Linked DNA regions of Cricetulus griseus. The protein of the gene in region 3 purifies or fractionates together with the protein of the main gene of each other region. This does not show direct contact. Links are inferred from orthologs where the notes say so. Each region holds a gene or a part of one and is shown on either strand. Other genes may lie near its edges.

Region 1 (5,604 bases), on a different chromosome or scaffold from region 3:
TGTAGCCAGCCTGGTCTACATAGTATTCCAGGATAGCCAGAGCTGTTGGGATCCTGTTTCTAAGTAACAATCTGAAGACTCCAAATGGAAAATGACTCTTAAGGGATTTTGAAGTTCCTTTCAGACTGCTAGCTGGACTATAGATTTGGGGATCTCAGCATTAAATGAAAGTTGGGATCCTTCCCCAGAAACACCTCAGAGATCTCAGGTGGGCACCTGAGAGATGAACATGATACAGCTTGGATGCCCACTTTGTTCATCCTTCCTTCTCTGTCCCTTCCCCCATTTTCCAGATGGGTGATCTACAATGACCAGAAAGTGTGTGCCTCTGAAAAGCCACCCAAGGACCTGGGCTACATCTACTTCTACCAGAGAGTGGTCAGCTAAGAGCCTGACCTCAACCCTTACCACTTCGGGCAGGGGACAGACCATCTGGCATGAGGGATGGGGTTGAGGGATGGACTTAAGCCCCCTGCTCTGTACCCTTTTTCCTTTTGTCCCCAGCAGCCGGAAAGAGCTGGAGGCGGTAGGAGAATGGCCAAGCAAAGAGAAGGGGTACTCAGTAGACTTTGGGGATAGAGCAGGGATGGGACAGGAAGGGGCCGACTGCCTGTCCACACTGGGACCTTGTTGCTTCCTTTCCCTGCCCCTGGAATCCACAGTGCTCTGCTTCTCTGTGATGACCCAGCCCCTCGAGTTGGGAGGGGTCTTAACTGTGTGTGCGTGGGTGTGGCTTTATGCATCCTTCCAGGGGAGGGAGCGACTGTGCCTCCCCTCCCCTCCCCTCCCCTTCCCTTATGTGTTTGCTCCCTCGTGGTTGGGCAGAGAAGGATAGGAGGGAAATAGGGACACCTTCCCCCTTTGTTCTTCTGCCTCAGCCTCCCATTCTGTGTCTTTGGTCCTCTGGAAAAATGCCAAAATACATGATGTGAATAAAAGTACAATGACTGGCTGGTTTTGTTTAGTTCTTCATGGCAAACTTACTTTCCCTGAGTAAAGTTACTGATGTGGGGGGCAGACAGGTTCAGAGAGGCCCAACTGGGGTCCTTTGCCCTGCCTCCACCCTCCCACCCTGGGGAATTTTGTCTTTAGTTCTAAAAGTGCCCAGAAAACTGTGAGGTGGGGAAGTGGCTGCTTCCCCCCTCTACTGACCATGTACTTGGTCCAGCCCCAGTGTTACAGGATAAATAGAGGGTCTAGAGCAGGCAGTGGGCAGTCAGATGGTATTAGCTGACAGGCTTTACAAGACAACAGCCAGTCTGCCACCTCCCTTCCTGCACGCCAGTGTATCCCACTCTTTGCTCCATTTGGCCAAGACCTGACAAGAGAGGGACCCAGTAATCACCCGAAACGTTTGTGAAACACTTGGGCCCTTCCCTAGTGATTGCTGGAAGGGCTCCTCGACCATGGCTTTTTGCCTTGTGCTGTGGGGAAAGGGGGCCTCTCCTTTGGAGAGGTGCTCAGTCCCAGTGAGACTGGTTTAGGGCCATATTGCTGCCAGCCCTTTGGTTTCCCTGAGCGCGAGGCTCAACATCTCAACTGTCGAGCAACAGGCGGGACGTTTGAGCCCCCGGAACCCCCTAGAACGTTGCTACAAGAAGGGAGAAACGTCAGAATATCGAAACACCGGGAGGTGGATAGGTTGAGGGGGAAGGCTTAGCAGCAAGGGGCCGGGCTAACCATGGCGGAGGGCGGGAATGAGGAGGAGTTCTGCTTCACGGCACTCTATATAAGTGGCCAGTGGCCAGGGACGTGCGTTCACACTGAGGTTCAGCAAGTCTGTCAGAGCGCGGAGGTTCAGCAAGTCTGTCAGACCGCAATGGCGCCTTCCAGGAAGTTCTTCGTTGGGGGCAATTGGAAGATGAACGGGACGAAGAAGTGCCTGGGAGAGCTCATTTGCACGCTGAACGCGGCCAAGGTGCCGGCAGACACCGGTGAGCTCCATTTGGGAGCGGAGGCCGGGGGAGGGGTGGGTGGGTGGTGGATCGGGCGTGGCAGCACCTACTCCCTCCCTATCCCGTGGACCCGGACGCCGGCCTGGGTTCGCCGGCCGTTTGGTGTCCGGGCGGCATAGAGACGTACTGGGGTGGAAAGGCATTTAAATGATGCCCCGGGCCTGTGGGGCAGGAAAGGGCTTCGTGGGTGGGGGCTGGGCGGAAGGTCACCTCCAGGAATGGACTGGGGCTGCACCACCTAGGAGGGAGCCACGGTTAAGAAGCGGAACCAGTGTCCGAGTGGATAATCGGCACGTGCCTCAGAGTATGGGGGAGGAAGCTGAGCTTGCGCGGTCTCATGGTCTCACGGCTACCTGCCCCCTCGGTCTCCAGATCCGTGCGTCTCTGCACGTAGCCCGAAACTCCTCCCCGCGCCGCCGCTAGCTTCGGCCTCTGAGCTGGGGGCTCCTACATCCCTACCCCTCCACAGCCTGGGCCACCCCTGCCTTTCGCCTTAGGGACTGAGCAGGCGCCAAACATGCCGAGCCGTTTGGGAATGAAGAGCTATCCTACAGCTCTCCTCCGCCTGGAAATAGGAAAACACGAGGTCTCTGCGAGCTAGACAACTCCCCCTGCTGCTCACTCACACTGTTCTCCATCCTTCCCCCTCCTACCCACCTAAATCAGAGAACCTTGAGAGTAACCAAAGGGTATTGTCTGCTGATTTATTTCCTAAGGAGCCCAATACAGACTCCAGTACCTGGCCTATTCTCCTGAAGCGAAAAATCCTTGCTGGGTTGGAGAAGTGTGGATGGGCTATTTTAGAAAAGGTTGGCCCCCGGAGAGTGCTGAGTCTAGGAGGTTCCCATTCCCGGAATAGCCTGAGGAAATTAGAGCCACAGCTGTTACAAGAGCAGAGGACAGGGTAAGGGCCTTGGCCTATCATGAGCATTCAGAAGGCTATGGAATTGGTACAGGCCCAGCCGGGGCTGTGCAGTGAACAAAGGTCATCCTTCTGAAGTGAAAAATCGAGGAAAACAGAACCAAGAAAGTGAAGGCGTGAGAGCAAGCCTGGAGAGTAACGGCTTTCTTTGATCTCATTCTCAGAGGTGGTTTGTGCGCCCCCCGCCGCCTACATCGATTTTGTCAGGCAGAAGCTAGATCCCAAGATTGCTGTGGCTGCACAGAACTGCTACAAAGTGAACAGTGGGGCCTTCACTGGGGAGATCAGGTGAGATGGAGGCAGAGAGGGATGTAGAGGGAACCTTCCTTGTGGACCCTTGCTGAACCTTGGTGTTTATGTTTTAGCCCTGGCATGATCAAAGACTTAGGAGCCGAATGGGTAGTGCTAGGGCACTCGGAGAGAAGGCACATCTTTGGGGAGTCCGATGAGGTCAGTAAGCAGAGGAGGAGTTGGGAGATGCTTTCATCCGAGGCGGGTGGCTCACTGTATTTGTTCTTTGCCAGTTGATTGGACAGAAAGTGGCCCATGCCCTATCCGAGGGCCTTGGAGTGATCGCCTGCATTGGGGAGAAGCTAGATGAAAGGGAGGCCGGCACCACCGACAAGGTTGTTTTCGAGCAAACCAAGGCCATCGCAGGTATCTCAGGAGAAAGGGACCTTTGAGCCTAGCAAGGGCCACAGAGATGGGGTGGGGAGGTCAAAAACCCTGCAGCCTACCTGATATGTTGAGCCAGGAAAAGAGAGGGCAACTTGCATAGTCTTTGTCACTTCTGTTTCTGCAGAAGGTGGAAACCCTACCTTCAAAAGCCTCTAGGGGCTGGTGAAATGGCTCTGTGGGTAAGGGTGCTTATTGCCAAGCCTGAGAGCCTATTTGATCCTCCAAACCCACATGGTAGGAGAGAACCAACTCCTGCAAGTTGTCCTCTGTCCTCCGTATGTTTGCCTTAGCGCTCGCGTGAGCACACACACACAAATTGTTTAAAAAAAAAAAATGGGTGGAGAAAAAAAGCCCACCAGGAATTGCAAGCCATTTCTGTTACACCCTAGAGAGCTTAGCTGGGCAGCTCCTTCCTCTTCACAGTTTTCTCCCTGATCTTCACCCTGCAGATAATGTGAAGGACTGGAACAAAGTTGTCCTGGCCTATGAACCTGTATGGGCCATTGGTACTGGCAAGACTGCAACACCTCAACAGGTAACTAATTGCCGAGAAGCCCCATCCCCCCGTCCCCCCCGTCCCCAACTCAACAAAAAAAGTGACTTGCCAAGGATGTTTTCCCTGTCTGGGATTGGAGCCTTGCTATTCTGATCCCAAGACTTTTCCAGAAACTAAACCCTCCATACAAGCACCAATGGGTTGCTTGTTCTCTTTGAATGAACAGGAAAGGTCTTACTTAGTGTACCTCTTCTTTCTAGGCCCAGGAAGTACACGAGAAGCTTCGGGGATGGCTGAAATCCAATGTCTCTGATGCAGTGGCTCAAAGCACCCGAATCATTTATGGAGGTGAGGGGGTTTGGCTCCAGCCAAGGTGGAAGTGGGCTAAGATAGACTGAGGCCCCACAGAGAGGTGGGGCCTCCGTGGACTAATCCTATCCCTGACCAAACCATCTTCCTGTTAATGTTACAGGTTCTGTGACTGGAGCAACCTGCAAAGAGCTGGCAAGCCAGCCTGATGTGGACGGCTTCCTTGTGGGTGGTGCTTCCCTCAAGCCTGAGTTTGTGGACATCATCAATGCCAAATGTTAAACACCAGCATCTTCCCTACCCTCCGCTAGGCCAGGATTAGGTTGCCCAGGAGCTTAGGAACTGCTCCCACAAGTCACATGCTTCTGATGTCATCGCCCCATCTTGTTTGCTAATCCACACTGTACCTTCCTACACCTTTGACACCTCCCTATAAAGGTTGGGACCAGGCCAATCCCTTTACCACTTACAATGAATGAAATAATGTCACCTATTTCACCAAAGTGGCTTCCTGGCTGGCGGAGCGGAAGAAGCGCAACTGACTGTCCCTTCAGGTCCTCACCAGGGCAGGAGAGTAAAACCACCTTCCTTTTCCTTCTCAGTGTACACTTAGGCCAACGTCCTCTTGCTCTGAGAGGCCAGGGGTGTCCCATCTCCCACAATGCCGAAGCCCTAGTACTGTGTTTGTGAACCATCTTACATGTAAAGGAAATAAACACCTGGCCCCAAGCTTTGTAGTTTGTCATCTTCATTGCATGTTTTCACGGGGAAAGTGGCATAACAAAAACAAAACAGGCTGTGACAATACATCTCAGTTTTTACTTGAAAAACATCTTTTGCACCAGGCTGCCACAGCCTTTAATTTCACTTCCACGTCTCGCCCCTCTATAAGGGTTAGTGAAGGGGTCCAGCCTCTTCTCCCCTCAGCTTCACTGGTTTTGTCTAGGCCAATCGATGGTGCCTCTCCACCTGTCCCCACGGTACTGAGGATGACCAGGTGCCTGTACCATCTGGTGCTTCAGGGTCATTTGTAGAGCAGGTAGCGCTTCATGGCAGGGGGCAAAGGCAGAGTGGATATTTGGCCAAGCCGGGTATCTCCCAGCGCATGGCGCACACACAGACGACTCAGATGCAGAAGGGATTGTGGTTCCTCGGCTGAGAGAAAAGGAAGGCAAGGTCAGTAGAGGCACAACTCCAGCCAGACATCCTCAAACTCAGGCTCCCCAATTCTTTTCCTCCAATTC
Region 2 (5,555 bases), on a different chromosome or scaffold from region 3:
ATTTGAAGACTTTGCTGCCTCTGTGTGGGGGTGATCCAGAAAAACAAACCACTCTGTCAGGTTGACATACATGAGCTGCCCACAGCTGCAAATTAACACCTCTAATCTGTGCTGGCCTGCTCAGTTGTGAGTATGGACACTCTGTCCTTCATACCCGACATCCAAAGTTGACTCTTGCCCACTGCCACCTGACTGGCAGGACTAACACACCGCAAGATAAACAATATAATTGACACAATGAATTTACTTAAAGCCACTGGTGCTCCACTAACTTGTAGCAACAAAGTAATTTTTATGCTCAGGAACAGCTACAACTTTTTTTTTTTCCCAGTGTAGTGCTAAAGGTAAGATTTAGCCCAAGGCCTCACACACTCTGGTCAAGTGCTGTACCACCCCTGACCTACATCCTAACAGAATTCCTTTCCTTTCCTTTCCTTTCCTTTCCTTTCCTTTCCTTTCCTTTCCTTTCCTTTCTTTCCTTTTTTTGCTTTTTTTTTTTTTTTTTTTTTTTAATCAGAGTCTCGTGTACTCTAAGCTGGCCTCTAATTCCTTTGGTAGCCGCAGATGACTCTGAACTTCAGTTCCCCTGACTCCAGCTCCCAAATACTATGATTGCAGTGTGCACTGCTTAGTCAGTGTTGGGGAAGGAGCAGGACTTTGTTGCACGCTGGGCCAGTGCTCCAACTGCTCTAGCTACTAGTGCAGCAAAACCCTTATCAGAACTCACCGAGGGTGGTGCCTCTTACCCTTCCTCATCAGATCTTTGCCAAATGACATCCTCCCCTTAGGCCTTTGTTTATTCCCTCTTCCTGGGACACTGTTACTCACTCAGTCTTTGTAATTTTGACTCTGCTAGTCATTCCGGCTGTATTGGTTACTACCATCTTCACCACACCTTGCGGACATCTCAAGCTGACTGGACAGTTTCTTTCCCTGTCTCCACCCTGCCTAGCACTATGTTTATAGTCTGCTTATTGTCTCCTGAATAGTGCTAAATGTGTATATTACAATTATCAGATGACCAAGGAAGCTGCAGAGCAAAATTTTCAGTAAAGTGAAAGAAAACAAAACAAAAACAACTCACAGATGAGAAACCAACACACTCAGAGAAAAGTGGCCAGTCCCAGAGGACACGGCCTGTGCTGAGCTGGGCAGAGTCGAGACAGGAGGGTCTATTTGTAATCAGCTGACTAAGTGAGGCCTTTGGGGGCACCTTTTCAAATCGTCACTCCCGCCACCTGCTAGTTTTTACCCTTTTTTTGCTGCAGCCTCAGCAGCTCCAAGGTGTCAACTTTGCCCTGCTGGCCAAAATACTGGTAGTCTGGGTCTACCTGAGTAGGGGACACCAGACCCAGGAGCACTAGAGGTGGCAGCAGCAGAGCCAGCAGGCTCCGGTCCATGCCCGGACTCCAACCGACCCCAACGCGCCCCGGGGCCCCAGGCCCGCGTGGATCCCACAGCACAGACAATCCCGGCGTCCGCAAAGGCACACCCCACCCATCCCTTGTGCAAGCGCGTGGGCCGGTCCGCGCGCTCCCCCTCTGCAGGCGCAGTGGATCCTACCGTCGGAGCTGTCCCGCCCACCTCCCCCTGTCCTGCCTAGTGTGGTTTGGGCCGCGCATAAAAAGCTCGCGGGCCTAGGGCTTGTTTGGCTCTGAGATCTCTGTGCTTTGTGTCCTGTCGTTCGCGTGTCCGGCTCTTGCCCACGCAGGTATGGAAACCCAGAATGCACACGAATGGGAGCAGCCCCACGGGTGCGGTTCTGTCCCTATAGAGCCCTCCTTGCTTACGGTCTTTGTTTTCCATGCTCAACGGCGGCCGCCTTTGTCCTTGCGGTAGGTGGGGGTGGGGGCGGGGGAATGGGGGGAACCAAGGTCGGAGCCCTGGGTTGCAGGCCGTATCGCCGAGCTCACAGCTCCTCGCTCTTGGCCTCGCCATCCCGTTCTGGTTCGCGTCCTTTCCCCCGCGCTTGGGCCGACTGGATAACCCGGGTGGCGGCGGTGACCCCATCCATCACTCGTGCGCCGTTTAGGGGGCCGGGTCTCCTGAGGCCTTGCAGAACTTGTTCTGGGAGGGTGAATGAATTTGAGTGCTGGTGCTCCCACCTCTCAGATTCGGTGTCTAGCTTCAGCCCCAAGAGTGACCTTGGGAAAGTCAGACAAAGGGTCCTTTGCGGCACTGACCAGCCTTGCGTGGGTCTCTGCTTTCAGTCATGGCCTCCGGCAACGCGCACATCGGAAAGCCGGCCCCGGACTTCACGGCCACCGCAGTGGTGGACGGCGCCTTCAAGGAAGTCAAGCTTTCAGACTACAGAGGTGAGGCTGCCCGGAGGGGGACCAAGTTGGGACAGGCTCCATATATGAGAGGGGCTGGAACTAACTTTTCTTCGTTCTCCTCTTCCCTAGGGAAGTATGTGGTCCTCTTTTTCTACCCACTGGACTTCACTTTTGTGTGCCCCACGGAGATCATTGCTTTTAGCAACCACGCTGAAGACTTCCGAAAACTGGGCTGCGAGGTCCTCGGAGTGTCTGTGGACTCTCAGTTCACCCACCTGGCGTGGTATGGGGCTGTGCGCGGGGCGGGCGAGGGCGGGGGCAAACTATGGGGATAAACTGTGTCTTCTCTTCCGGCCCTTCATCTTTTATGTGTGTGTGGGGGGGTTGCGAGACAGGGTTTCTCTGTGGCTTTGGAGGCTGTCCTGGAACTAGCTCTTGTAGACCAGGCTGGTCTGGAACTCACAGAGATCCTCCTGACTCTGCCTCCTGAGTGCTAGGACTAAAGGCCTGCGCCACCACCGCCCAGCTGGTCCTTCATCTTATAAAGAATGGAAACAATGACACCCAAGTCCTTACAATAATGACAGTAATTAGCATTTGGCACCTAGTTGGAAGGTACAGATGCTTCGTGGCTTAGTTCTCAGGAGACAGGCTGGCCTTGCCCTATCTCATGAAACGGGAAACTCTAGTTCTCAAGAGTGATGGGTTGATGTAAAGACCAGAGCTAGATGATGTTGGAAATCCCCCCCTTTTTTTTTCAGAACTAGGGGTCAACTCAAGGTCTCATTGCTGCAAAGCAAGTACCCTACCCCTGAGCTCTACCTCTGCTGTTGGCTAAAGTGGTATCCCTATTGCTAGTTATTGGAGCCCATGGGCCCAAGTGAAGCTACTTTAAGATGATGATTTATCTGGGCCATTCCCTTTCCAGTTGTACTGCCTTTGCCAGGGTGGGGAGGGTGGGGCTACCCAGCCTTGTTTGAAATCCTTTATCTCTTGCTTCCAGTACCCCCACTCCAGCCCTTATCACACTGGAGGCGGGGGGGGGGGGGGGGGGAGGGGGGAATTCTGCTGTTCTGGGCATCCTAAGGCCCCAACCCTGTTTCTCTCATCTTCAGGATCAACACCCCACGGAAGGAGGGAGGCTTGGGCCCCCTGAACATCCCCCTGCTTGCTGATGTGACTAGAAGCTTGTCAGAGAATTATGGAGTGTTGAAAACTGATGAGGGCATTGCCTACAGGTATAGCAAGGGCCTCAGCCCAGCTCCAGGAGTCCCCATCTCAAGGCTAAAGGGACCACTGTGGCTAATGGGGTGTGTGTGTTGCCTTACCTGGCCTTGGCAGTGGGGGACTCCAAGCTCCTCACTATAGGCTCTCATGTCTTCAGGGGCCTCTTTATCATCGACGCCAAGGGTATCCTTCGTCAGATCACAGTCAATGACCTCCCAGTGGGACGATCTGTGGATGAGGCTCTTCGCCTGGTCCAGGCTTTTCAGTATACAGATGAGCATGGAGAAGGTGAGTGAATATTCACAGATGGGGATCCTCAGCTCTCTGCCCAGCTTACAGACATTAACTGTTTGCCCTAGCATCATTGTGGGATGGGTGGTAAAGCCCCATACAAGGGCTGAAGAGATGGTTTACAGCACTGGCTGCTTTTCCAGAGGATCAGGGTTAGATTTCCAGCACCCACATGGTGCCTCATAAGCATCTTTAATTACAGTCTCAGGACTCTCTTCTGGTCTCCTCTTGTATATATATATATCACAAAAAAAATTAGATTAAAAAAAAAAGCCGGAGCCCCAAAAAAACAAATTTTTAGTATGTATTCATGTTTGCCTGGAGCTAGCTATGTAGACCAATCTGGCCTTGAACTCAAAAGATCTGCCTGCTCCCCAGTTCTGGGATTAAAGGCACAAAATACCGTACCTGCTTTAAAAACTTATTTGTGCATGAGTGTGCTAGTGATCAAAGCCTCAAACATACTAGACGATGCTCTTTCACTGAGCTGTACCTCGAGGCCAGTCATAGCACCTCATCATATGGAAGGGTCACCTGACCACAGGTACAGAGTTTTAGTAAGGCTAAGACTGACAGAGTGAGTGAGTTAAAGGGGAGGGGCATGGAGACACAGGCCTGTAATCTCAGCACTTTGGAGCTGAAACAGGAGACCAGCTTGGGCTGAAGAGTGAGACATTATTTCAAGAAAAAAGGCTAAGTGTGGTGGTGCATGCCTATAGTCCAAACACTTCAGCTGTGGAGGAAGGAGGAGCAGTGCATGTTTGATCTATGGAGCCTGATCTATGGAGAAAGTTGTAGGCCAGCCAGAGAACCCTTAAAAAAGAAGACTGAACTATAGCTAGGTGTGGTTTACACAAGGCCCAGAGCTCAAACTCCAGTCCTTCAGCAGCTAAAATAAAACTAAAAAAAAAAAAAAGAATTTGCAGGAGTGTGGTGATGCCTGTCTGTGATCCCAGCAGTCGGGCTAAGATAGGGCTGCCATCGGGTCGGGGTCAAGGTGAAAACAAAAGTACAGAACAAACAAGACAATAGAACAGAAAAGTATCATCTAGAAAACTATTGGGGCAGGGGCTTCTGATTGAGTGAAATCTGGAACCCTGCCCCTTAGCTTCCAGCCCTTCATTGTGCAGGCAGCCTAGGGTCTTGCATGGCCTGTTTGTCCCTGACCTGGATGGCAGAGCTGAGCCTCATGTGTTCATCCTTGTGTGTTTTTCTAGTCTGTCCTGCTGGCTGGAAGCCCGGCAGTGACACCATCAAGCCCAATGTGGATGACAGCAAAGAATACTTCTCCAAACACAACTAAGATGATCAAACATCAGTGAGCCTGAATTCTTGTATCCCGCCCCTACCTGGATGTCCTGTGCTGGTCCAGAAAAGACTGGAGGGGCTGGGGGTGGGCCAAGGCTTTCTCATTGCCCACCTGGGATGTGGTGAATAGTGACCCTATGTCCTGAGCCCACCTGTCTGGGCACACATCTATAGGAAGGAAACCAATAAAGTATTAGGGACAGTGAAAGACTGTTGTGCTGTCTAGTTGATCCCAACTTCATTTTTACACGCTGGCCTGCGCAACTGACTCTGCAGTTACCCTTCTTCACCACAAGGTGGCGACAATACCACATTCACTGCATAGAGCTCTGGTGGCCTGAGAGTGGAGAGATACTGATCTGTCTGTGGAGAGATGGTTTAACTTGTTGCTCTTGTAGAGGACCCAGGTTCCATTCCCAGCACCTACATGGTGGCTCACAACCTTCCTTAACT
Region 3 (5,063 bases):
GTTTGGGGATAATACACAAGGTAGGTCTTGTGCTGTGTAGTGACCATCTATACCTGGCTGACCAATGAAGCACGTGGACCCAGTCAAAACTCAATTGCTAATGATTAAAAAATTAAGAGTTTTTTTACTTTTTAAAGAAATTAAGTTAAAATAACCGCTTAGGTCACCTTGAGGAAAGTAGCCACAAAAAGTAGTGTTTGATTCATTAAGTGTGGGAAGGGGAAGGAGTTGGTGCTTTATTGTGATAATGTCTTAACTTTAAAACACAGAAACAAAAAATTAAAGTCCTGCTGATTTTGAGTAATTCTTTGAGGTGCTTGGCACTGGGGGGTGAGGGTGGGTGTTTCAGGCACAGTGTCGGGGAAAGCTCCAAGCCTTGCAATGAGAGTCACAGTGGGGCAGAGTGCTGAGAACTGAAGGTACAGCTTAGGAGGAAGGTCAGTGTCTCAGTGGGCTTAGGATCAAGTCAGCAAGAAGTGGGCGGAGGGAGGGGTGTCCCTCCCTTCTCTTCTGTCCTCTCTGGCTCTTTACCTCTTTTCTCTTTCCCTCCCCTTTCTAATAAAACCTTTCACTTAAGTGGTGGTGGATTAGATTGCATTTAGTGGTCTTGCCATATTGGCAAGATCTGAATTTTGTTCACAAACTTGTAAGAAGAGCCTCATTCGTATTGTCAGAGCTTTCTCTTCCTCTCCACTCCACCCCTGCTTCCCTCTCTTCTCTACATAGCCCAGGTTGGCCTAGAACTTGTGGTATAAGCCAGTCTCTGAAGTTGGCATCCTCCTTTATTTAGTCTTGTGTGTGCTGGGTTATGGCATGTACCATTAAAACCTGTGTATAACGTGTCATAATTTGGTCCATTTTGATCGGGTTTGATCCATTTTGATAATTACTAAAACTCCCCTAAGTTGCTTTGCCTCTGCTCTGATAGCTTTTATCTGCTAAATCTCCTGAATCCTGCCCTGCACTTATTCCCTGGGCCTGGGTAGTTGTAAACAGTGCAAGTCTCTGCATGAAAGGACTTCTGTGATGATACGGTTGTGTTCCTTATGAATGGCCCCTTGGTGTGAGTACCTGTACACCCCTCGAGTTGTGTAGGGCAGCAGCCCTGGCCATTGGGCATAAGGTTCCATTTAACAGACTGCCTGCCCCATGCCCCAGGTAAAGGCCAGATAGATGAGCTACTTGGAGGCGCATGGTCTTGAAAGATGAATGTTTTTGTCATAATGGTATGGCACCTTCCCTTTTTTTTTTTTTTCATTCTTTTATTAGTTCAAATTAGGAACAAGCTTGTTTCACATGTCAAATCCTTCTTCCTCTCCCTCCCCTCCCCCCTAACATCCCACCTGGATATGGCACCTTCTTAAAAGCCAAGATCTTTAAATGTGGGACTTTAACTTCAGAAGAGCCATTGAAGATCAGATCTGCTCCACTTAAAAGGAAGGAGCCAGAGCCAGTATGGTGTGGCAGTCCCATGTTCCTAGCACCTGGAAGGCTGAGGCAGGAGGATCACAGGCTGCAGGTATCCTGGGCTGTAATAGTGAGACCCTGTCCCAAAACTCAAAAACAAAAGGGGGGGGGAACGACCCTCCCCCCCAAAAAAACGGAAAAATGTGGCAGCCTAAAGAAAGAAGGTAGCTTGATAGTATAAGGCTACACAGCCCTGCTGTTTATACCATGCACAGTGTTCTTCCTGTTTCTGTCACCCCAGCACACAGCAGGTCAATGTTTGCTGTGTTAGACGTTGTGAAAATGCTCATGTTGTTACATACAGGCGTTTGCTTCATAATCTAACTGCTGGTTTCTGGTGGATAGGCTGTACCAGTGCAGGTCCTCATTTTAATCCTCACTCCAAGAAACATGGCGGACCCTCGGATCAAGAGAGGTGAGCGGCATGCCCCATATGCATGATGGTGGAGAGGCTGCCTGGAAGACAGGACTGAGTGGTCTCCCTGCCTCTGCGCTTGTATTTGTTGTCACTCCCCAAGTGCTGGAACGGTTTATTTGGGGTAAAGGAGTTGACAAATGGGGACTCTTAATGTGATTTAGTTTTATAGCATTTATTGAAGATGAATACAAGAGCCAAAAGGAACCAATACAGAAAATGTCAAGGGTAACAGTACTGTCAGTCACTAGCAAAGTAAATCATTGTGTAACAGGATACTAGTGCAGATAATGAAAGCTAGTTGAGACTCCATTTATATGTGAAACACCTCAGGAAAGTCCTAAGTTTAAAGGACTGCCTTGTTTTTATACTGGAGGCCTGGGAGCAAAACTTTGCTAGGTATGCTAACTCACGAGCTGAGTTCCTCCTTTGCTACAATCCCCAAAATGAGAAATATATCCCAGACCGTGACTCTTCTCAGATCGTACTTTTAAACTTGAAGTGTGTGTTCAGGGTGTCCTAGCTACCTGTTTTAAAATTGTGTTTCCAGACCTTTGTGAGTCTGGAAAAGTCGTCCTATTTGGTATGTATTGTGTACTTCCTAGCCCACTTAGACGTGTTTGACTTGGTGAGATGTTAATTTAGCTCTTGAATGCTGCTGATGTGAATGTAGACATGAGTGCTTATCCTCTGATGCTGTTGTAACATTAGGCATGTTGGAGACCTGGGCAATGTGACTGCCGGGAAGGATGGTGTGGCCAATGTGTCCATTGAAGATCATGTGATCTCACTCTCGGGAGAGCATTCTATCATCGGCCGAACAATGGTGGTACGTTTTCATAAAAGAACATATAGGATTTCTTCTAACATGGTTATATACCTTTCCAAGACTTCATGGTCAAACTACTTTCTAAAGAATCACATAAATTGTTAAAGTTTAGAATAGGAAAAAGTTTTTATTGGATATGATAGTGAAGAGTTAATTTGCCTAGGTCAGTTAAGAACACTGTTCTGCTAAGATGCAGTGGAAAGCAGGTTACATTTGATCAGACTGGGTCTAAGTTGAACAAACAGTAGTCTTGAGTTTAAAACAGCCAGATTTTCTTGCCATGATTGCTCCCCTTACAGTTAAACATTTCGTTGAGTGTAAAATCTGCGATGGATGTCAGTATTCAGGTCTGTAGGTTATCATCGCTTGGTTACCATATGGGAGCCGTCTTCCCAAGTTACCCTCGGGAGCTGAGTCTGGTTCATGCAGAACAAGTAGTAAAGGCTCCTGCCCAGCTTGGGCAGCTACCTTTTCAGTAGGCACTTCCTTTCAGTTGACCCTTTATCCTTAGAATTTTCTTCAGCCCTATTGGTGAAGCAGAACAGTCATTTATAAATGTTCTAAAAGTAAAATTTAAAGTCTTGTTGCTAAATAAAGATATTTAGAATTGCCTCTTATTTGTAGGTCTATAGTTCACTGATGTGGGATTTTTGATAGCAAAAAATTTGGGGGTGTGTAATGTGTGAAGCTAAGATCAGCATGTGGTCTGGTACAGTCATTTGGGTTGTTAGTATTTCATTTAGAAGTAGCAACATTTACCTAGCTTTTAAAGCTAACGTGTCTTTGTCACTAAAAGGAGAACTTAGTTGTCTGCCCCTAACTGGTAGCATAAATACCATCTTATTTGCTAATAGATTTGAACATTTTATAATTTAAGTGGTCCTTTTAAGTCTTTTGTGGTATTGCTAGGAAGAGGTGCTAATTACTTGGTTGCCCAAAGCTAAATGTTCTTAATTCTTTTCAAAGGTCCATGAGAAGCAAGATGACTTGGGCAAAGGCGGAAATGATGAAAGTACAAAGACTGGAAATGCTGGAAGCCGCTTGGCTTGTGGTGTGATCGGGATTGCCCAGTAAACATTCCCTGTGTGACTGAGTCTCAAACTCATCTGCTGTCCTGCTAAACTGTAGAAAAAAACCCCATTAAACTGTAATATTAAAAGTGTAACTGTGTGACTCCTCTTTGATTTAAGGACTTGTAATGAGAACTGATTGATGATGCTAGAAAGATGTGTATAATTTTATAGCTAACTGAACTAAAACCGGTTTCCATGCGTATTCTGCCAAACTTAATTACCCATGGATATTAAACTAAAGTTAATTCTCACTCAAGCTTATGAGTAAACATCATATGTGAGACTTACTTAGAGCCTATTAATGTATACAAACAAAATTTCAAAGTTAGCGCTATACATTAAACATCAACAAGAGACTCAGGTGTTGTTAACTTTAGTGCTCTGTTTTGAAAGTGTTTTATGTGACACCATCAAAATGTATGGCTAGTTTTGATTGTGGAAGCCCAAACCAAATTTGATCTTAGAAGGTTTGCTGCCCTTTGTTAGTAGCTTCAGAAATATTACCGAAAGCTCTCCATTTAGAGTCAGAGTACCAACTATTTTGAAATAAAAATACTATATTTAGATGTCATAATTTAAAATGCCCCTTAGCCTCAGCTAGCCAAAGTTAATTTACTACCTACACTACTTTCCAAGTGACCCTGGAAAAACAGCAGCACTGGGAGAGGACCAAGTTTGACTCAAAGTTCTGGCTAAATCCTGACTTTATAGCACAAGTGAATGAAATTGAGTATCTCTTAATATGTACCTAAGAAAGACTCCCTTCTAAAGGAAATAACATAGTGATAACTTGCTTGTACAAATAAAGCCTGTCCGAAGACCAGAGAATGGAGCTTGCCACTAGCTAGCCATAGAAGTCCGGAGGTCTGTGCAGGTGACTCTAGAATAGATCATTCAACTGAAATGTTTGACAAGTCAGGTATGAGCCCTACCTGGTCCTGTTCAATCGTAACCACATAATTTTCCAAATACAAGTCACTAGGAGACTGTTAAATAGGAAAAGGGAAAATTTTGGGGTTCCCAAGTTTTAAAACTGCTCATAAGGAATGTGTTCGGAAGTTTGAAGTTTGAGGTAAATGACATGTCATGGGTTTCCTTAAAGTGGTTTTTGATGTGTGGGGTGACTCAAATGAGACTAAGCATCTGGTGTAATCAAACCAGTTGTATTGTTTAGTGGTTTATTTCTCAGCACTTCCGGTTGGAAATGCAAGTCTGTCCTTGAAATCTGGGCACTGGATAACCAGGTGTGTTTTTATCTCTTCGGAAGTATTCTAGAGCA

The links.
Region 1: the proteins of Sod1 (region 3) and Tpi1 purify together in Homo sapiens (affinity purification with mass spectrometry; 3 studies listed by BioGRID, with this or other methods). This does not show direct contact. The link is inferred for Cricetulus griseus from reciprocal best matches to the Homo sapiens genes SOD1 and TPI1.
Region 2: the proteins of Sod1 (region 3) and Prdx2 fractionate together in Homo sapiens (co-fractionation; 3 studies listed by BioGRID, with this or other methods). This does not show direct contact. The link is inferred for Cricetulus griseus from reciprocal best matches to the Homo sapiens genes SOD1 and PRDX2.

The regions. Positions count from the first base shown.
Region 1 is NC_048601.1:21,601,810-21,607,413, forward strand, and holds Tpi1 (triosephosphate isomerase), read left to right. Parts: upstream 1-1,743; 5' UTR 1,744-1,819; coding exon 1,820-1,934; intron 1,935-3,041; coding exon 3,042-3,165; intron 3,166-3,242; coding exon 3,243-3,327; intron 3,328-3,401; coding exon 3,402-3,534; intron 3,535-4,004; coding exon 4,005-4,090; intron 4,091-4,311; coding exon 4,312-4,399; intron 4,400-4,523; coding exon 4,524-4,642; 3' UTR 4,643-5,089; downstream 5,090-5,604. Other genes in the region: Usp5 (ubiquitin carboxyl-terminal hydrolase 5), read left to right, coding at 294-387; Spsb2 (SPRY domain-containing SOCS box protein 2), read right to left, coding at 5,385-5,515. UniProt on the Homo sapiens protein: Triosephosphate isomerase is an extremely efficient metabolic enzyme that catalyzes the interconversion between dihydroxyacetone phosphate (DHAP) and D-glyceraldehyde-3-phosphate (G3P) in glycolysis and gluconeogenesis.
Region 2 is NC_048596.1:159,392,242-159,397,796, reverse strand, and holds Prdx2 (peroxiredoxin-2), read left to right. Parts: upstream 1-1,694; 5' UTR 1,695-1,711; intron 1,712-2,210; 5' UTR 2,211-2,212; coding exon 2,213-2,315; intron 2,316-2,405; coding exon 2,406-2,559; intron 2,560-3,391; coding exon 3,392-3,514; intron 3,515-3,660; coding exon 3,661-3,791; intron 3,792-5,011; coding exon 5,012-5,097; 3' UTR 5,098-5,161; downstream 5,162-5,555.
Region 3 is NC_048597.1:7,461,681-7,466,743, reverse strand, and holds the end of Sod1 (superoxide dismutase [Cu-Zn]), read left to right. Parts: coding exon 1-20; intron 21-1,812; coding exon 1,813-1,882; intron 1,883-2,593; coding exon 2,594-2,711; intron 2,712-2,812; exon of another isoform or gene 2,813-3,183; coding exon of another isoform or gene 3,184-3,236; intron 3,237-3,677; coding exon 3,678-3,785; 3' UTR 3,786-3,876; downstream 3,877-5,063. UniProt on the Homo sapiens protein: Destroys radicals which are normally produced within the cells and which are toxic to biological systems.